4 linked regions of the Drosophila melanogaster genome follow. The protein of the gene in region 2 interacts with the protein of the main gene of each other region in a pairwise test. Each region holds a gene or a part of one and is shown on either strand. Other genes may lie near its edges. The genes, in order: trus, Drep3, Mfap1 and CG42353.

The links.
Region 1: the proteins of Drep3 (region 2) and trus interact in a two-hybrid assay, tested with the Drosophila melanogaster proteins (one large-scale study listed by BioGRID).
Region 3: the proteins of Drep3 (region 2) and Mfap1 interact in a two-hybrid assay, tested with the Drosophila melanogaster proteins (one large-scale study listed by BioGRID).
Region 4: the proteins of Drep3 (region 2) and CG42353 interact in a two-hybrid assay, tested with the Drosophila melanogaster proteins (one large-scale study listed by BioGRID).

The regions. Positions count from the first base shown.
Region 1 is NT_033777.3:12,454,984-12,458,954, reverse strand, and holds trus (toys are us), read right to left. Parts: upstream 2,383-3,971; 5' UTR 2,332-2,382; coding exon 2,224-2,331; intron 2,157-2,223; coding exon 1,063-2,156; intron 1,004-1,062; coding exon 748-1,003; 3' UTR 511-747; downstream 1-510. Other genes in the region: CG5961 (uncharacterized protein), read left to right, coding at 1-456; CG18549 (uncharacterized protein), read right to left, coding at 2,950-3,545, 3,613-3,971.
Region 2 is NT_033778.4:12,053,287-12,058,114, forward strand, and holds the start of Drep3 (DNA fragmentation factor-related protein 3), read left to right. Parts: upstream 1-1,802; 5' UTR 1,803-1,932; intron 1,933-2,682; exon of another isoform or gene 2,683-2,687; 5' UTR 2,688-2,734; coding exon 2,735-3,100; exon of another isoform or gene 3,101-3,261; intron 3,262-4,828.
Region 3 is NT_037436.4:1,939,463-1,943,372, forward strand, and holds Mfap1 (Microfibril-associated protein 1), read left to right. Parts: upstream 1-1,605; 5' UTR 1,606-1,713; coding exon 1,714-1,792; intron 1,793-1,853; coding exon 1,854-2,775; intron 2,776-2,837; coding exon 2,838-3,273; 3' UTR 3,274-3,410; downstream 3,411-3,910. Other genes in the region: mu2 (mutator 2), read right to left, coding at 3,520-3,734, 3,791-3,910. UniProt on the Drosophila melanogaster protein: Required for pre-mRNA splicing.
Region 4 is NC_004354.4:16,101,918-16,106,945, forward strand, and holds the start of CG42353 (uncharacterized protein), read right to left. Parts: upstream 3,030-5,028; 5' UTR 2,887-3,029; intron 1,137-2,886; exon of another isoform or gene 902-1,136; intron 1-901.

The sequences.
Region 1 (3,971 bases), on a different chromosome or scaffold from region 2:
CAACTGGTGGAGTACTATCGCTACATTCGCTTTCTGCCCGATGGCAAGGTGCTGATGATGACGACTGCCGATGAGCCGGCGCAAGGTGTATCCAAACTGAAGCACGTGAACAACGTACGGGCGGAAATGCTTCGGGGTCGCTATCGTCTCTTCGGGAGCACAGTCACTCTGGTGCTGCAAAAGTCGCAGCAGCGAGGGCCGGCTAACGTGCGGCAGAGGCGAGGGAGTATCATGCCAGTGGATGAGGACTCCTCACAGTTCCTGATCGAGCTGCGCATCGCAGGCACCACCAAGCGCCGATGCGCCCAGTTGGTTTGGTCACATTACACGCTCGTGCAGAAGCGCAACAAGGTGGACATCAGCTCCGAGTTCGATTTGACCGAGGCCAAATATCCGGCGCTGAGGTTCTCAACCGTAAAGAGCTACCATCTTGATGCTGATGCACCATTGGCTTAGGTTAATTAGAATTAGAATGGATTTCTGCAAGTTGGAAATAAAACAATATGTTTTGAAACCCTTTTAGAGGGGGAGTGGAAATAACGAGATATTATTAGCAACTATCCATTTTTGGAGTGTCTAAAAGCTTACAACGTTCTTAACAACTAGAGCATAAAATCTTCCTAGGACAATCGAGAAGCTTAGCTTTATCTCTGCAGTTTGCGTTTAAAATTCGTTGCACCAGTCTGCAATCGTAGCGGCTACAGCGAATGACTCTAATGGCTTTGGGAAATGGCCGTGTACGGCACCTTAAGTTTCAGACTGAACCACAATATGTTCGTAGCGCATCAGGTCGGGTGTGTCCCAGCAGCTCTTGAGGCAGGTGAAGACCAGCACGTTGCCAAACTCGATTGGTGCATTGCAACCGTTCACCTGGAACCGCAGCTTGGGAATCAGTGTGGGCAGCAGCTGCACCTCGCAGATGGTCTCTCCCCTGCAATTCTGGCACTTGGGCAGAGGTTCCGTGAACGGGGCCACCAACAGCGGGATCGTATCCCGCGAATATCTGAAGCAGAACAACTTGGGTAAGAGGAAAGTTAATGAGGATAGAAGTACAATGTTTACCTCAACAGCTGGCCCGGATTCTGATGGATGGTAGTGATAAAGTTGTGAAACACCAAATCGCCATGGGCTGGCAATGCCTTCTCGTAGGACTCGTTCTCATCGCCCTGCTCTCCTGGTCCAGATGCACCGCCGGTCGGTGACTGACCCGGATTCTGGTCTCTCAGCTTGTACTCCTGATACAAATCACGAATGTGGTCCATGGACAAAGCGCCTCCGAAGTTTTCGTACTCCTCCGCCTGGGTCTTGTTCTCTACATCGACGGCAATATAGTAAGACTTTAGCGTTAGGTCCTTGATCTGCGACAGCGCACCCGAGGTGTGCTTCAACAAGGCAATCAGGTCGCGTTCCGGCTTCTTGGGCGTGTCGACCAGCACCAGATCCGTTTCGGGACCCTCGATCTCAGCACCAATGGCCGCTGAGGCGGCACTGGCTCCAGCTCCATCCAAACTGGGAGCGGCGGCCGCTGCACAATTAGCATTTGGATCATCGTCGGCGTTTTGCGGCGAGATCATGTCCATTTGATGAAAGCCAGAGATCAATTCGTTCTCCAGCGAAGTGCTCTCGTCCTCGTCGTCGTCATCATCGGCGGCAATCTTTACCTGCTCAAGTTTGGCTGGTTCATCTATTTGGATGTCTGACTTGGCGTACTGCAGGGCATTCGGTCGCACATTGCCATTCCGTTCGTTCTGGTCGTCGTCCGCGGTGATGTCCATAGCCTCGTCCAATGCCACGGAGATGGTCTTGGCCTGTTCGGTTGCTCCACCACTGCTGTCGCCCCAGTCGTCCGCTCCACTACACCAGCTGATAGCCTGCAATCCGCTCGACTTCCCCTTTTTTTTGGAGTTCTGCTTCTTAGTTGGCGTTGCCTTCGGCGAATGCTCACTGATCACCTCGTACTGGTGGTCCAGGTGCTGAGTGCGCACACAACACCAGCTCTTTGAATTCTGAGAGCAAACTGGGTTCATGCATCCAAAAACGTAAAGGCTGCGATGGAATTGGGAGCGATCCAGCGGGGCGTACATCTGCACGATCAGTGGACGCACTGCACCGCACAGCGGGCATGACGGAATGGTCACCTCGTGTCTGGGCCAATCCTGTGGGTAAAAATCAATTTCAATTATCCGCTGCCTCTATTGAAGTCGATGCAATCGCCTATCTTACGGGTGTGCCACCGATTTTGTTTGTGCAACTGTTCAGGAGCTGCTCCTGCTTGGCCGTAACCTCCTCATCCTCGTATCCTAGGTACACAGTCGACTTATTCTTGGCCATTTTTCATGGTTTCATTCAAGTCTTTCAAAATTGAATGATTTCTTTTAGGAATGGGCGAAATGAGTGCTCATGGGCAGACAACCGATAGTTGCACATGGTACTATCGATTTTAAAAGATATCGACTCATCGTAATCGAGTGTGCGAATTTCAAAGTATGAAATCTAGGCAGTTCAAAAATATATCAAATAGTTGAAAAATGAAATAAAAGCACAAAATTCTATTATTAATGAGTAGCACACAAGTAAGATCCATAACAACTATTATTTTCTTAAAATTCGTTATATATTTCTTATAATACTCCAAATTTGTGGTTTACTATCTTATATTTGCACAATCGCCGCTTAAAATAAATAAACGCACATATACAATACACACATATAAAAACATAGACAACTAGATTACAATTACGTTTTTTGGAATGCCAACATTAAAATACGTATATTTAGCAACAATAGCGCGCAACAACACTTATCAGTTATTGTCTAGGAAGACGACGCAGTCGCACGGATTTAAAGCATTCCGAGGAATTTAACAAACACGGACAAATGGCCCTAGCCCTAGAGTTCTAACAAGAACCTGCATCTAATACTCTAGATCCTCTGAGTCCCACAACGGAATTACTTCTCCAACGCCTCCTGCTCGCGGTGCTGCCGCTTGAAGCCCCACTCTACGAAGACGAAGGCAATGGTGCCAATGGTTCCCATAACCACCAGGATGCCCAGCTGCACGTACAGCCCGAAGTGCGAGGAGTAGAAGAAGCTAATGGCCGCCGCCACCGACTGGGTGAACTTGAACAGGGCAAAGGCTCCCACGGCATTGTTCACATACTCCCCGCCAAGCATGGAGTAGATCTGAGTGTTGAAACAGGCATCGCCCAGGCCCAAAAGGAAGGCACACACCAAGGCGATGCTGGCTCGGGGCGGGTCCAGATAGGATATATCGGTGGTATCTTTAAACGGTGCACTGTTCGGCAGGTTGATGAACGTCATGAAGAAGGCTGCCATGTGCATCACATAGCCGGCAATCACGATGGGATCGCGTCCATATCTCGTCGTCTTGTTGCCCAGTATGCCGAATAGTCCTCCTCCAAAGACCTCGCCGGCTCCAATGCAAATGCCCACCAGTCCAACGATCTCCTTCGGTGTTTCGGCTATTTTCGTGGTGAATCCAATCGCTGATCCAAAAACTCCGCTAAAGAATGACAGCTCCAGGCCTAGAAAGTTATGTTTAAGCACTTAGTATCTCTGATTCTATTCAGTTTTGACCACAATCCAACCCACCTGTGTAAAAGAAGGCCAGACTAAGGAGCAGCATCTTTTTGGTGAGGAACAATTGTCCTGCGGACTTCAATGCGTATATGGCCTGTCCACAGCCCGTGTGCTTCTGTTCCAGCTCGTTGTCGTGCTCGGCATTATCGGCCATGAATCTCAGTGCGGCCAGAAACACGATGCCCAGCACAGCAATTACCGTGAGCACGCCGATGACCAGATTCCGTGTCTCCTTGTCGATGCGGGTCTTGTCCTGGAACTGATAGTACACGAACAGATTCCCAATGAACATGCTGCACTGCAGCAGGGCCCAGAAGACGCCAGAGTTACGGGAAATCGTGGAAGATTCACTGCAGCGCGCCAGATACGTT
Region 2 (4,828 bases):
TGCAAATACGCACAGGCTTGCTGGCCATTAAACCAATTATGGCCAGGACCGTTGCACGTAGGTATCCTTACACAGGAAATACACAAAATAATGAAGTATGCCATTAAGGGGGGGAAATGTAATTGCTTGTTACATGGCGGCAAGGTCGATGCCAGTGCTTTTTTTCTCTCATTATTTTCCATTTCACATTTATTTTAATTTAATTAAAATGTTTGCCATTTTCTTTTATACATTTTTGGTTTGCCCCGCATCGAAATGCTATTTTTTTCCATTTAATTTCATTTAGACTGCTGACAGCAGGCGCAAATATTTGGCATTTACCCGTACCACTGCCTTATGTGTTTTTCGCCTGACGAGTTTTTGGCGAAAAGTGCCACATATCCAAGGACCAGGATCAGAGGCCATTTATCATCGCCACATGCGGCGGCATGACCTTTCCGACGACATGTGAGTTAATTAATCTAACTGGCCAGACGGCCAAGGTCGTGCATCGCAATTAAACATGGCAGCTGATGATGAAGGGAATTTACCTTCGCGACCAGACGCATAAATTTCAATTTGCACCTATGCATTTAAATTGATGGCGATGGAGGTCCTGCAGCAGGACCAGCATGCTGCATATGCGAAATGCGAATAGTTGTTCGCGCCGCGCTTCAATGCGCAATTAGCGGACCATGGCCCATAAATTATTTGACCCGCCGGCGGGGGAAAATGGGAAATGGAAAATGGCGGACGGAAATGAATGCCCAGCAGGGCGAATAAACAGATGAGCGTGCAAAATTCGCCCAGCAATCCGAATCCGCTTGGGCCTAAAGTATGCACTTCAGGTAGTTGGGACAAGGACCAGGCTCAAAATGCGTAAACGAGATAACAGGCCCACAGATATATTGTTATCCATCACGTGACTGCAGTTGGAATCACGTGCTCAGTCCATGTTCAATGCCGAACTTCCGTAAGCGGGCGCAATCAAATTAACCTTGGCTCACGCGGCGTATGCGCAATATTTCAGCCATTTAAGCCCAGTGCTGTGATAAATGCAGCTAAGTGGCTTTGTTTGCTCCCAATGCGAACAAATTCGATCGACGTACAGCGTCTCATGCATTTTAAATATTCCGCCAATGCAAATGCCAATAAATCTCGGCTTTTGTCTCGCCCTCAAAGGCAATGCACCTTTGTTGAAAACTTTTGCCCAGCTCTGGGATGCTTTAATTATGCAGCCAGCAGCAGTCTCATTATGCCGAAGTGACATTTTTCAGCTGGACGCCAGAGTTTTTCGCCGAAATTGCAAACTTTATTTTTATTGCATTTTTAAACTTTGCCCTTAAGCGCCTGAAAGTTCAGGCTAAAATATTTATATTTGCCATCACGCCCCGCAAATACACTGTGCTGTTTGTATTCGTTTTTATCTTCTTGTGGTCCCGGCTAAGTAGAACTATTTGCAGCTGCTCCAGTAAACTTTTCCCACCTTCCAGGTCATAGAATCCCGATCCCAGGCCAGAGTTCTTTTGTGCCAACTTTACTTTATCCGGCATAGGGTCTATGCTTCTGGCCCGGCACGCCCAGCGTGTCCTGGCTAACAGGAGCCTTAACAGAGCGCTCGCTCTCTCTCTCTCTCTCTCTCTTTGCCTCTCTTTGCGAGTGTCCTGCTCTCACGGCCAAAGCTCCGCGAAGGTTAGACTTTGCTGTGTGTTTGCAGGACCTGCTGACTTTGCGCCGTGTGTGTTTGCGCTGGCCGAGGCTGTCGGCAAACTCGACGAGTCCTGCCACGTTTAAATACAGCACGCACAGACGTCTGGCAATTTATTCCAAGTTCGGCCGGCTTTTGTTGCACTTGGCTGCTGTGAGTAGTCGGCTCGCGATCTCAGCCAGAATCGCGTATTGTAATTGTTGCCGGAAGATGTGAAGAATTCGGTTTTTAACTTAAAGTGCACGGTAATGAGAAACAAAATGTTGCTTCTAGAGTTCAGAGTATATAAACCAACTATCTTTTTGTCTAAAAGAGGCTTGTGGAAATTATGGAAAATAATTAGTTTAGCTTTCATGATAAAAAACAACAAGCAAGCACATGCAAACTATATTCTTTTAGACTTATAATTGCCTCTATAAATTTAAATGAAGTTTTACCAAACAAAAAAGTTGGCCAATTATATTCGTTTGAAAAACTCTAAACACGTTTCTGCATCGTCATATATGGAGCTTTACTATCAAATACAGGACACCAAAATTGAAATAGTGCAAATTACATTACTATATAAAATTAAAAAAATAATAATATTTTGTAGATATTTTTTTTAAGTCGTTGGTAAAAATGTACAGTATTTAAAGAGCCGATGGTGAAATTGTAATGCAATAACATTCCATGGTCTCCTTCTTTTTTTTTTGGTCTCTATAAACTTCGTTTTCTATGTGGCTTTAAGGTCAAGCAATTTCAGCAATTGCAAAACTTTTTTAAATCAAAGCCAAAACAAAGGCCAAACAACGATTTCGTTATAAATTTTCCGGTCGAAGCAAACAACGTACACGCGTATATGAAATAACAATAACACAAAGTCTGGCAGTTTTAGTATGCTTGGCTCAGCTTTGAAAGCATCCCCGAATGCCATACAGCATATTTCAATTATCGTCTAAATTTGTTTTGCTCGTCATAAATCTCTTTCTCTTTCGACCATGTTTTTCAACCAGTGCAGCAAGGAGTCCAGACAAGGCGAACAAACTCTCGAGACGAGGTAAATACATGACAGCAATGAATGCGGATGAGACAAAGCTGGCTGGAATGCCTCAAGGAGCTGAGGAGGAGCAGGAACCGGAGAGGGAGCAGAAGAAGGAGAGCGATGGAGCAGCAGCTGCAGCAGGAGTACAGTGTGATCCTGATAGCAGAATAGTGGCTCCGCCGCCCAGGCAGCGGACTCTGACAAGGACGGCCGAACTGGACGCGGACTGCGAGGACATCGAGTTAGATGCCGACGATGGTTTGGACGATGCGGCGGATAGCATCACCTTGGAGTTGGCCCTATCGCCGCACAGCAGCGCCACGCCCACGCCCTCGCCCACCACCGCCGACGAGGATTTCGCCCAGCTGGACAACAGCAAGCCCTTCAAGGTGGGTATTCCACTCGCTACTCGCACATCCTTCATGTCCTTTGTGGCATTTAGCCACGCTACCTGGCGCCCCGTCATCTGGGCCAGCATTTCGTTAAGTGATTACTGCGGTGCTATTGTTACGCTTGATGGGTATATAGTAAAAAAAAAATAGAAAAAATTAAACTGAAAATGGAGGAAAAAGTTTGACGGTCAGGACGAACAAAGTGAAGGGTTCCCCGACGGAACGGCCACTTCAAAGCCTTCGGCGTTGAGTGGCATCATCGACATTGGCACTGCTGCTGAAGTGTTGCTACCGGTGCTTTATTCGCCCTTTAAGCATTCGTCCAACTTTTCAATTCGCTGCAAGAGTTGGTGCGGGAAAAAATCCGGGAAAACAGAGCTGTTTCCTTTTGCCCTACCAGCAGCCCACTCCGCACTGCCTTCACCATGGCAAACTCCATTTGATTGTGAGGATTGCGTGGCCCTGCCCAATTTGGAGCACAGAAAGAAATGATTAGGGTCACAAATAGTCGCTGTCAATTCTGCAAAGTTTACGAAACAATTTACGCATCCGTTTACCTATTTACGAAACTTTTAACTCTAAAAACTGTGTGTGAAAGATACAACACATCGACACTTGCAAGAATAAAACGATTCTGTTTAGTATTGATATGATTTAACTTAATTGAACTTGAATGTCCTTATTTTGATGATCCTATATCCAATTACCCACTTATAGTAAGCCATGCTCAGTAAATCACTAACACTATCAATACAATATAGTATAGACCATATTTCACCCTCTACTCAGATTAGCTTCTTGCAAATTTTTTGCCTGTGTGGCTGGTCAACAATGAAAATTTAATTAAAATGTTCAAACTGTTCAGTTGCATAGGGTAGTGGGATCAGGATGCGGGCGCCCAATTGTCTCGTATATCATTGTGGGCCAGCCAGCTGGCCAATCATCCAGCCATTCCGCCAATCGCCTCCAGTGCCACGCCCACATCTAAGCCGCCTTGTGGCGTCTGTGTGGGCGGCGATAACTATAAGTAGGTGTCTTGGCCACGCCAGCTGAACACCCTAATCGATGTATTGTGTGTTAACGGCATCAGAGCGATGGCCATAACAATATAAACTGGCCAAAAGATCGGCGTCTACGAGATATCAAGTGGCTGTAAATTTGCCAGGCGAAAGCAATTAATTGACGGCTTGACGTGGCCGAAACGCGATGTCATTTGTCAGTGGCAACCGACCGGTGATGATGATGATGATGGGTGAGCGTGGGCCACGTGACGTATGCGTAATTCATGCGCATTCCAGCTAATTAATAAGCCTCCATCTTGTCTGCCATCTGACACGGGCATCTTCTTTATCGAGCTCTCGGGGAAATTGCCAAGGTTCTGATTAAAAACACTGGATGATATAATCCTGGAGATATAATCCCTTTGACTAATTCCAGAAACAACTAAATGAGAGTGAAAATTAAGGAAAGGGTTGGTAGTCAGAGGCCAACACATGAATGCGTGAGGTAGGGTTAATAATATCCTGTGTTCACGTATTGGCCCTTAGGTTCTTCTCGGTATGAAAATAATTTGCATCTCTTCTACTTAATATCAGATAGTTCAATTAATTCGATGGTTACCATGACTGATTTGCAGTTTGGTTTACTCACAAGGTTAAATTGGTTTAGATCTACCGCTGAACTGAAAACTCATAGCAGTGCTGCCACACAGAAAGACATTTTTGA
Region 3 (3,910 bases), on a different chromosome or scaffold from region 2:
TGCATATCCCTCGATGGCGATTGTTAATTGTGGCAAGTTGAGCCAAGTGAAATGCGCTGTAAACAAACATAAAAGTTTAATTGCTGGTTCTTGGCCAGTTTGGGATTGCGTGATGTGTAAATATTTCCATTTGTCTCACCCTTTATTACTTTTTAAGTAACTCGAGTCACAAAGGCAAAAAGTGCGCCAATTAATAATGGAAACGATTATATCTTTCGTTTTTTGTACACTTGTCGCCTCGCCTCAATTGCTGGCTATGTGGTGTTTTACTTGGATAACGATAACGAGTTCGATCTGGTACGATTTTGATCAGGAATGACACTCTTTCTCCCGCTAATAGAAAATTATTTGTTTACAATTCCTGTGCGCCAGTGTGGGTGTTTAATTCTAATTGAAATGTATTCCCAGTTTGAATTTAAATTTGAACTGAAACGGCGCCGGTCAGTTCAAAAAGAGTTCAAATCGCAATAAATTGATAAATGTAAAATGTATGTACATATCTAGTATGTAGTGGCAAAAAGAAAGGGGGTCTCCAAATATTCAGCAGGTACTTCCCCCCAAGCGGAAAGTCACCAAATCGACGCCCATTTTTCTAAAGGTCAGTGAGTTAGCTAGGCAGATATGCACTTAAGCATGAAGCGTGTTGCATTAATTAAATATGCCCGCCATGTCGTTAACTAACAGTCTCATGTAAATCTTGGCCATTCAACTACCTCAGCCGACGAAAAGCAGTTAAAAGCAGTTCGGCAAATGCGTCTCGGTGTTTAGGCCCGAAACGATCCCATCCCATGCCATTCCAATTCCATTCCATTCCAAATCCCCATCCCCATCCATATCCAAAGCAAATCCAGCTAACTCTGTTCCTCGGATGCAAGTGGCCGAAGACGTCACAAAACTGGTCGAGCCCCTCGTCCGCCAAGTGGTTCTTTCGGACTTTGGTCCGGTTGGGTGGGTATCAAATCACATCACATCAGATCCGAACGGTTTTTCAAACATTACAAGACAATCTTCACACGTGCTGGCTGCGTGCTGTCGAAACTGAAAATACGCAATACCAATAAAAAGAATTTTGGATTCGATTCCGGCATTACACAAGATCAAGCACCCCTCCTCCGTCCTCCCTCTATCCATCGTATGGGAATTGGAGAAAGCGTAGTAGTCAATTAATTTACTAATGAGAGTGGGCGTTGACATTGCTAAAACACTTGTTTATAAAAACAGCACAGAAAAGAACATTTTCCTTTTCACCAAGGAACCCAATATATATGTTTAAATTTTTTGCAATCCAAAAAAGCTTAAATGAAAATGAATTTCTTACTTTCAATAGTTTTTTCCAATATATAGTTGTCTAACAATAAATTGCTCCATTTCTTTCTGTGTATTAATATTTTCAATTATCGAATGTCTCAATTAGTTGCTGGCCTTAATTCTGGCTTTGCGAAGTCATCGCACTTCCGTCATTGCAATTCAATATTCACCATATATATGTAGTAAAACTTTCTTAATATTTCAAATTGCGGGCCTTGTTCGATAGCGTTGCCACTCTGGTTTTGCTGAGCTGCATAGGCATCGATAATATTTGTAAGCAAAGTATCGATTATTTTCAGATACTTTTGTCCATCTCTAATTTACCATACTTTTATTTAGGAAATATTTACAAGGAATAAATACAAAGATTTGCTTATTACCCGTGGATTATAAGTTAAAACCACGATGAGTGCAGCCACCGCCGCCGCCGCCGCTTCTGGGATCCAGAGCACAGCGGGCGCCATTCCCATGCGCAATGAGAAAGGTAAACAGCGAAGCTCGATCCTCACCAGAAATTGTTTATAAGCTGCATATCTCTTCAATAGGTGAATTGTCCATGCAAAAGGTGAAGGTGCAGCGATACATATCCGGTAAGCGACCCGACTACGCCCGTGCGGACTCCAGTTCGGAGGAGAGCGACGACGATGACTTCATTGACACCAGGAAGCGCCTTGAGCGCCACAAGGCGGAACGGCATAAGCTGGAGCTCTCCCGTCAAGGCGGCAGCGCGGAGGGCGAAGAGCGGGCGGCGGGTGAGGGCCAGGAGGAGGACGATGCCGAGGTGGACGATCCACGCCTCCGAAGATTGCGGCAGCGACCCGTAGACATGGAGGACATGGAACGTGAGCGGAGGGAACGCCACCGACACATCCACGAACCGGAAATCATGGAGAGTGACAGCGAAGACGAGGAGGAAGACGAGGGAGCACAGGGAGCGATTCAGCGGGGCACCAATAAGATCACACTGGCATCCGAATCCGACACGGATGCGGAGCTCAGCGACACAGAGCTGGAGAACCGGCGCACCAAGCTGAGATCCCGCATGCTGCAGCAGCAGCGCGAGGAGGAGGTTCTACAGAAAGAGGATGAGAAACAGTCGGAATCGTCCGAATCAGAAAGCTCCGAGTACGAGGAGGAGACCGAAAGCGAGGAGGACAACGAACCCCGCCTGAAGCCGCTCTTCGTCCGAAAGAGAGATCGTGCCACCATCCAGGAGAAGGAGCGAGAGGCTCAGAAGCAGAAGCAGCTGGAGGCGGAGGCCAAGCGGGCAGCCAAGGAGCGCAGAAGAGCCACCCTGCGAATGGTCGAGGAGAGCGTCAAGAAAGATCTGGAGAAGACCAAGCCGGAGACCAATGAGGCCTGCATCGAGGACGTGTGCACGGACGACGAAAACGACGAGGTGGAATACGAGGCCTGGAAGCTGCGTGAACTCAAGCGAATGAAGCGGGATCGCGAGGAACGTGATAAGTAAGTGAACATCAAACTGCTCTTAGAATTCCTTTTTAACAATTCTTTCCCTTTTCTTTCAGCGTCGAACGCGAGAAGCTGGACATTGATCGCATGCGCAACATGACCGAAGAGGAGCGACGCCAGGAGCTGCGCCAGAACCCCAAGGTGGTCACCAACAAGGCCACCAAGGGCAAGTACAAGTTCCTGCAGAAGTACTATCATCGTGGTGCCTTCTACCTGGATGAGGAGAACGACGTCCTCAAGCGCGACTTCGCCCAGGCCACGCTGGAGGATCACTTCGATAAGACCATTCTGCCCAAGGTGATGCAGGTGAAGAACTTCGGCCGCTGCGGCCGCACCAAGTACACTCATTTAGTGGACCAGGACACCACCAAGTTCGACTCGCCCTGGTACGCCGAGTCATCCAGCAACATCAAGTTCCACAACGAACACGCCGGCGGCATGAGGCAGCAGTTTGACAAGCCCACCGGCTCGAAGCGAAAAAAGATGGAGTAGTGTTAGACGTATGTAATTGATGTATTTGACAGGCATTAGGAAAGTAACAAGTAAATATTGTGCGGCCACAGTTATGATGGAACCAAAACTTCATATACAAACAATTATATATAATACAAATATCATAAGTTTAAGGTATGAACGAGATTTCGTCTGGGACTTCGATGTGTGATGTACAATTTTGGAATAATGGCTAACGAATGATAACAAAAAGCGGAGAACACACAAAAAAAAAAACTATAACGTTTAAAGTTTGAGCGTGTGCTCCTGTAGCATTTCAATGTTGTGTTGAACGAGCGCCTGCATAACAGCCTCGGTTTTGATGAAGTGCACCTTTTCATAGTTGTTCAGACGTCGCTTAGATTTCGTATCCTTGCTGGTGGTGACCACGTACAGATCCACGCTGATGGCCAGCGAAGGCGGTTGGGCATGAACCTTGCCGCCGGCGCTGTGAATGATGACTGTGGGAGATTACCGATTAGCCACTAGTTGGAATAAGATTTCTAGTTAGGCTTGCCTTTCATTTCGTTGGCCTTTGGCACTATGTCTTTGCCGAGCATAAAGTGCAAGCCATACAGCAAGCGAGGGTGTTCCAGTACGGAGGAGGGTTTGAACTTGTAGGTCTCCTCGAACGTTG
Region 4 (5,028 bases), on a different chromosome or scaffold from region 2:
CGGTCGCCAACCGCTGAATGCGGGGGCATTTGATTTTCCAATTGATTTGAATACAGAAGCAGAAGCAGAAGCAGGCGGCTGTGATAATTTGAAAACGATTGACTTTTGTAGTTCTCCGGCGACCGCATGTCGGCGTCGTCTAATAAGGCCTGAAAAAAAAAGGGTTGCCTCATCGTCATCATCGTCATCATCATCATCATCATCATCAGCAGTAACTTGAGCAACAGACTCTAAAAAGTAACTGAAGCCAAATGTGAAGCTACGAAAGAAGCCAACCGAAATGGTGGCAAAAAGGCAATTAAAAAGAAACGACTGAACGAGAGAGTGAGCAGTTTTAAGTAAATTTGTATACATATGTAGTATACTCCCGGGTCTCATGATATTTCACACGAATTTTGATAACTTAGATAAGGCTGATGTAATAAATTCATTTATATTATAAGAAGCTAAATACCCTTGAAATAAACGAATCAGCAAATGGAAAAATAGGCATTAAAGGTGAATATTAAATGTTAGTTCATAAAGATCATCAAATGAAATAGAAAATATAACAAAAGCAATTAGAATTTAAGATTCACAATTTTTCGCGAACGTTCTAATACGCCCGCAGGTAGGCAACATCTTTTGCAACATTTTTGTGCTTTTTGGTGGCTAGAGGATATCCACAATTCGGCTATTCCGAACATAATTCTTTCCCGGCGCATTTTTTTTTTTCGCTGAGCAAGGGCCTCGTCATCGTCTTGCCAAACTCGCATGTTGGCAAGATACACACATATATGGATGTACGAATGTACATACATACGTACGAAAGGTTGTAGCTGTGAGTAATTCCGAAGGTTGAGGCATACTAAAATGCACATTCGATCGGTGTTTTGTTAAAGTAAAGCCTGTTAGTACATACGTTGTTCCCCGGGCAGCTGCTTCGCATCGATCGCTTTTTTATTATTATTATTTTTTTTTCGCCTTCAGCTTGCAAAAGATTAAGCCCTCTGATAAGATAGCACCCATTATCTAAGCAAACACACCAATACACGCGCAAGTGTACTCGCCACAGTACTCGCTTATAATAATTTGAATTCTAATCAGAACGGTAGAGGGGGATGGAGAGACTCCAATCAGAGACCTTCCCAGTCAGACTGTTCGAAAAAAAAAATTACAATTTTCCACGTTGTTAATTTATGCCAAATACACACGTACATACAAACGTTAGTGTAAGTTTTTGCATAGAATTTAGCAATGGAATGACCGCGAAATTGATATGTTATTATTGTGTTTAAATTGTTGTATAAGTTTCTAGGTTTACCATAAATGGTGCTTCATAATTATTTTATTCAGTTGGCTTTTTTTTCCCCCCCGAAAGCAGGACTATTCAGTATCTAGAGTCAAGAAGCCATTTAAAGAAACCACGTCAAAGCCAAAATATTTAACACATCTGCATTGGGTTTCGAACTTGCGAAATTTGGATGCGCTGGCGCTAACAAGATTATTTTGTATGAAAAACTGCACCCACTTAATACATATGTAGATATGTATGAATGTATGTATGTACATATGTCTTGAGAGCGAAATAACCCCTTGAACAAATCACACGAAAAGTTAACGAAATCGTACACTGCGTAGGTTATGAAAAATGTTAATAAATGGTTGTATTTAATAAAAAAAAAACATGTGAAAACAAGCAAACATTTTACTGAAAAATATGACTATTTTGAAATATTGTATCCCAAAGAGCCCAACCCTCCTCAAATCTTATAAATTCGAATGTGTGTGTGTGTGTGTGCTGTTGTGTGTTTTTTTAGTGTACCTTTACGGTCCATAGCATGGATCGATTTATGGCATAAATTTACCCTTACCACCACGGAATTGGGAATTGCATCCCTAATTCCGCATGGAGTCTCGTTCCAAATAGATTTTGGATTTTGTGTTCCCAAAATGAATCAGTGTCCGTTCCGATTTGGGAAGAGCCCGTATTGAAGGCAACTGTGAAAGACATTAAACTGCAGCCGCTGCTCTCATTTGCTTTTGCTTTTTTTTTTCTGATTGGACCTAGGTTTTCTTGCTTTTTCTGCCTTTTTGCTTTCGTCATTGTTATGGTTATTTGCTGTTGCTATTGCCGTTGCGCACAGTTGGGTTAATATTTCGAAAATAAGCCATAATTGTGTGTCTCAGCCACCATTTTGTGGTTTTAGTTGAGTTTGAGTTTGTGCTTGCTTTGGTTATTTCCTTCATTTTTTTTTGTTATTTTTTACATATATTTCTTTTTTACGTTTAATGCTTAGTGCGCCTCGTTTTTTCCGTTGGTTTGGCAGCTAGACGGCCAAAGTGTGAGTTCGGATTGGAGTTCATTCACCGCGCAGTAACTGACGGATGCCAATAAGAATATCCCAGATCCCAGTTGGTCTTGAAGAAAACCCCCAACGTTATTTCGTTTTTTTTTTTTCACAAACTCTTGCTTTAACCCGCACTCACTCACGAATACAACAAAAACAAAAACAACAACAACAACAACAACAAAAAGATACAAAATCATACAGATACACACACTCGCACTAACGTTCGTTCACACACACAACCACTATAAACAATCGGCGGTGGTTGAGATCCCCAAAAACCCCTCCCCCACCGAACCAACGAACCACCACTGTTTTTATGTTTCTCTGTTTTGAGTATTATTAATTTCGCCGTACATCGGTGGTACAATGTGTGTTACAAAGCCAAAAAGCCCGAAAAAAAAATAAATGAAAAACAGTCGAATATTTTGTCGTACTTGATGGTAAAGTAAATATAACACACAGATGCAAAGGCGGTTAGACATACAGGGCCAATATACAGATACTATCCGTATATACGGTGTGATTGTATTTGACTTTATTTAACGACAATTACCTAAACAAACGTGAACAATAGAATAGCGGCGGTACGACGACGCGCACTTAACAACAAAAAGTACTCCGGCGTTCGGGAACGGGAAAACCAAACAAAAAAATAACACGTCCGCTCACCACAAGATTTCAAAGTTGACTGCGACAGCAACGATTTTTTTTGCGGCAAATGGAATCCACAATACGATCCACTTTTAATAACATAGGCTTCTCTTAAAGCGTTGTATTTGTATTCATTGTATCTGCAGCGCTACCGGACTGGCGAGATTTCGTTCTGGCTTAAGTTAAGATTTCCGGCTGACCTGGCCTACACCGAAAGAAACGGGTGAAATTGGCATATATCTTATCATATTAATTGAATCAGAAGATTGTTTTAATTTCGTATATTCTTATGGCTAAAGAAATGTTTTTAAATTAAATGTTTATAACGTAGGATGTATAAATAACAATTTGTTCTTAACAAGCCACTGCAATGGTCCTTGTCGACGAACCAAAAATATACTTGCCAACTTTCAAATAATGGGTATACAAAATTATACAGGAGATTTCTTAACGTGTTGCTTATTTTGGTTCTATTTTTTCAAGTAAGGATATTTTAAGGCGTTGCCACAAGTTCGACCTATGATGTTGCCAGCAGCATGGAATAAGAATGCTGAGAATTCAAATTATGAAATTTATTAAAAGTAAGAAATGAAATTATTTGGCTCTTAAAAAAATAAATTTAAAAGAATGTTTAGTATGTGCTGAATGGAAATAATGGTAATTTAACAAAATATACTGAAAACACGTCAATTTAAAAAATATCACACCTTAAAATCGTTAGCCTTAATATCGGTTTTTTTTGCCATGTGCCTTAAAATAAATTTAGATAACATTTTTTTGTAAAATGTTACATATTCAATTAAGCGTTTCGAACCCATTTGGAACCACTTCTTTTAAGGCTACATGAGACTTTCTACAAATATTGTATTTCCGCAATGTAGGTTTGTTACGGCTAAAACTTATTGTTTAAGCAAAATCAGTGGATATGGCAACGCTCGTAAGAAATTATAGAAATATGTGAAGCGCCATCCAGCGGATAGTGCAAGTTCTGCAAAAGCGCGCGTAGTAGCTATTTTTGGAGACTAAACTACCGCCATCTGTTGGTGTTTATTCAAAACAGACGTAAAAAAGTATGTTACACAAAATAAATTTTTTGTGTAGTTACTATATTTTTAGGGTTGACTAGCGTTGTGCTATTTTTCAGTAATAACAATAAAATAAATAGTGATCGCTAGATAAAGCTAGGGCTAATCAAACTGAAAAACGAAATAAAATTGATTATGTTTATCTGTAGTTTATGCAGACAAATAAGTAAACTAACTACACTATTTCACAATTTGCCTTACAAGTAAAAAATGAAACCAGCAAAATTTACTTGAAATCGGCATAACTAATCGCAATTGTTTGGTTAGTTGTTAGTTGGCTTATGAATTAAGTTTTGAGTTCTTAAAAAATCATTTAATTTTAATCTTAAATCACTATGTATCAATTCCATTACAATTCCAATTCACTAACTTTCAACTATACTTTGGTTGTTTTTGTACTTTATACTTAATATGCTTTTCTATTTATGACACCGATATTAAGCAATTATGTACCATGCCATTTACAGAGCAAAACAGAGCTTCTCCTCGAGCCATCCTCTCTCCTTTGGATTAGTGTGAGAACTGTTTCAAAAGGCGATTTTGCGGGCATGCCCCCTTTTGCAGATCCGTGGACAATGCCAAGGGCATGGCCTCCGTTCGCTTAACTGGCAATCTGCGCGTAATGATGGTTTCAGGATTTAGTCGGCCAATCAATCGATGGTCGCATAGAGTTTAACAATTCCATGGTGCGCTTAATTCGGGGGTTCGGTTACGGTACTCGAATTGGGCGATTTCGATGGCGAATGGAATGGACTGAACTGAACTGAACTGAACTGCACTGCACTGGATGGACTGTTGTCTGGTTTGTGGTGTTTTAGGTGCCGGGATTTCGCATCAGCCTCATATGCATATGCATATACTTTTTTATTTCACAAGACGGAAATTTTCGTTTTTCGTCTTTGGCTTTAGCTTTGGTATTAGCAGCGACTTTGACTTTGGCTTTACCCACATAATTGGTC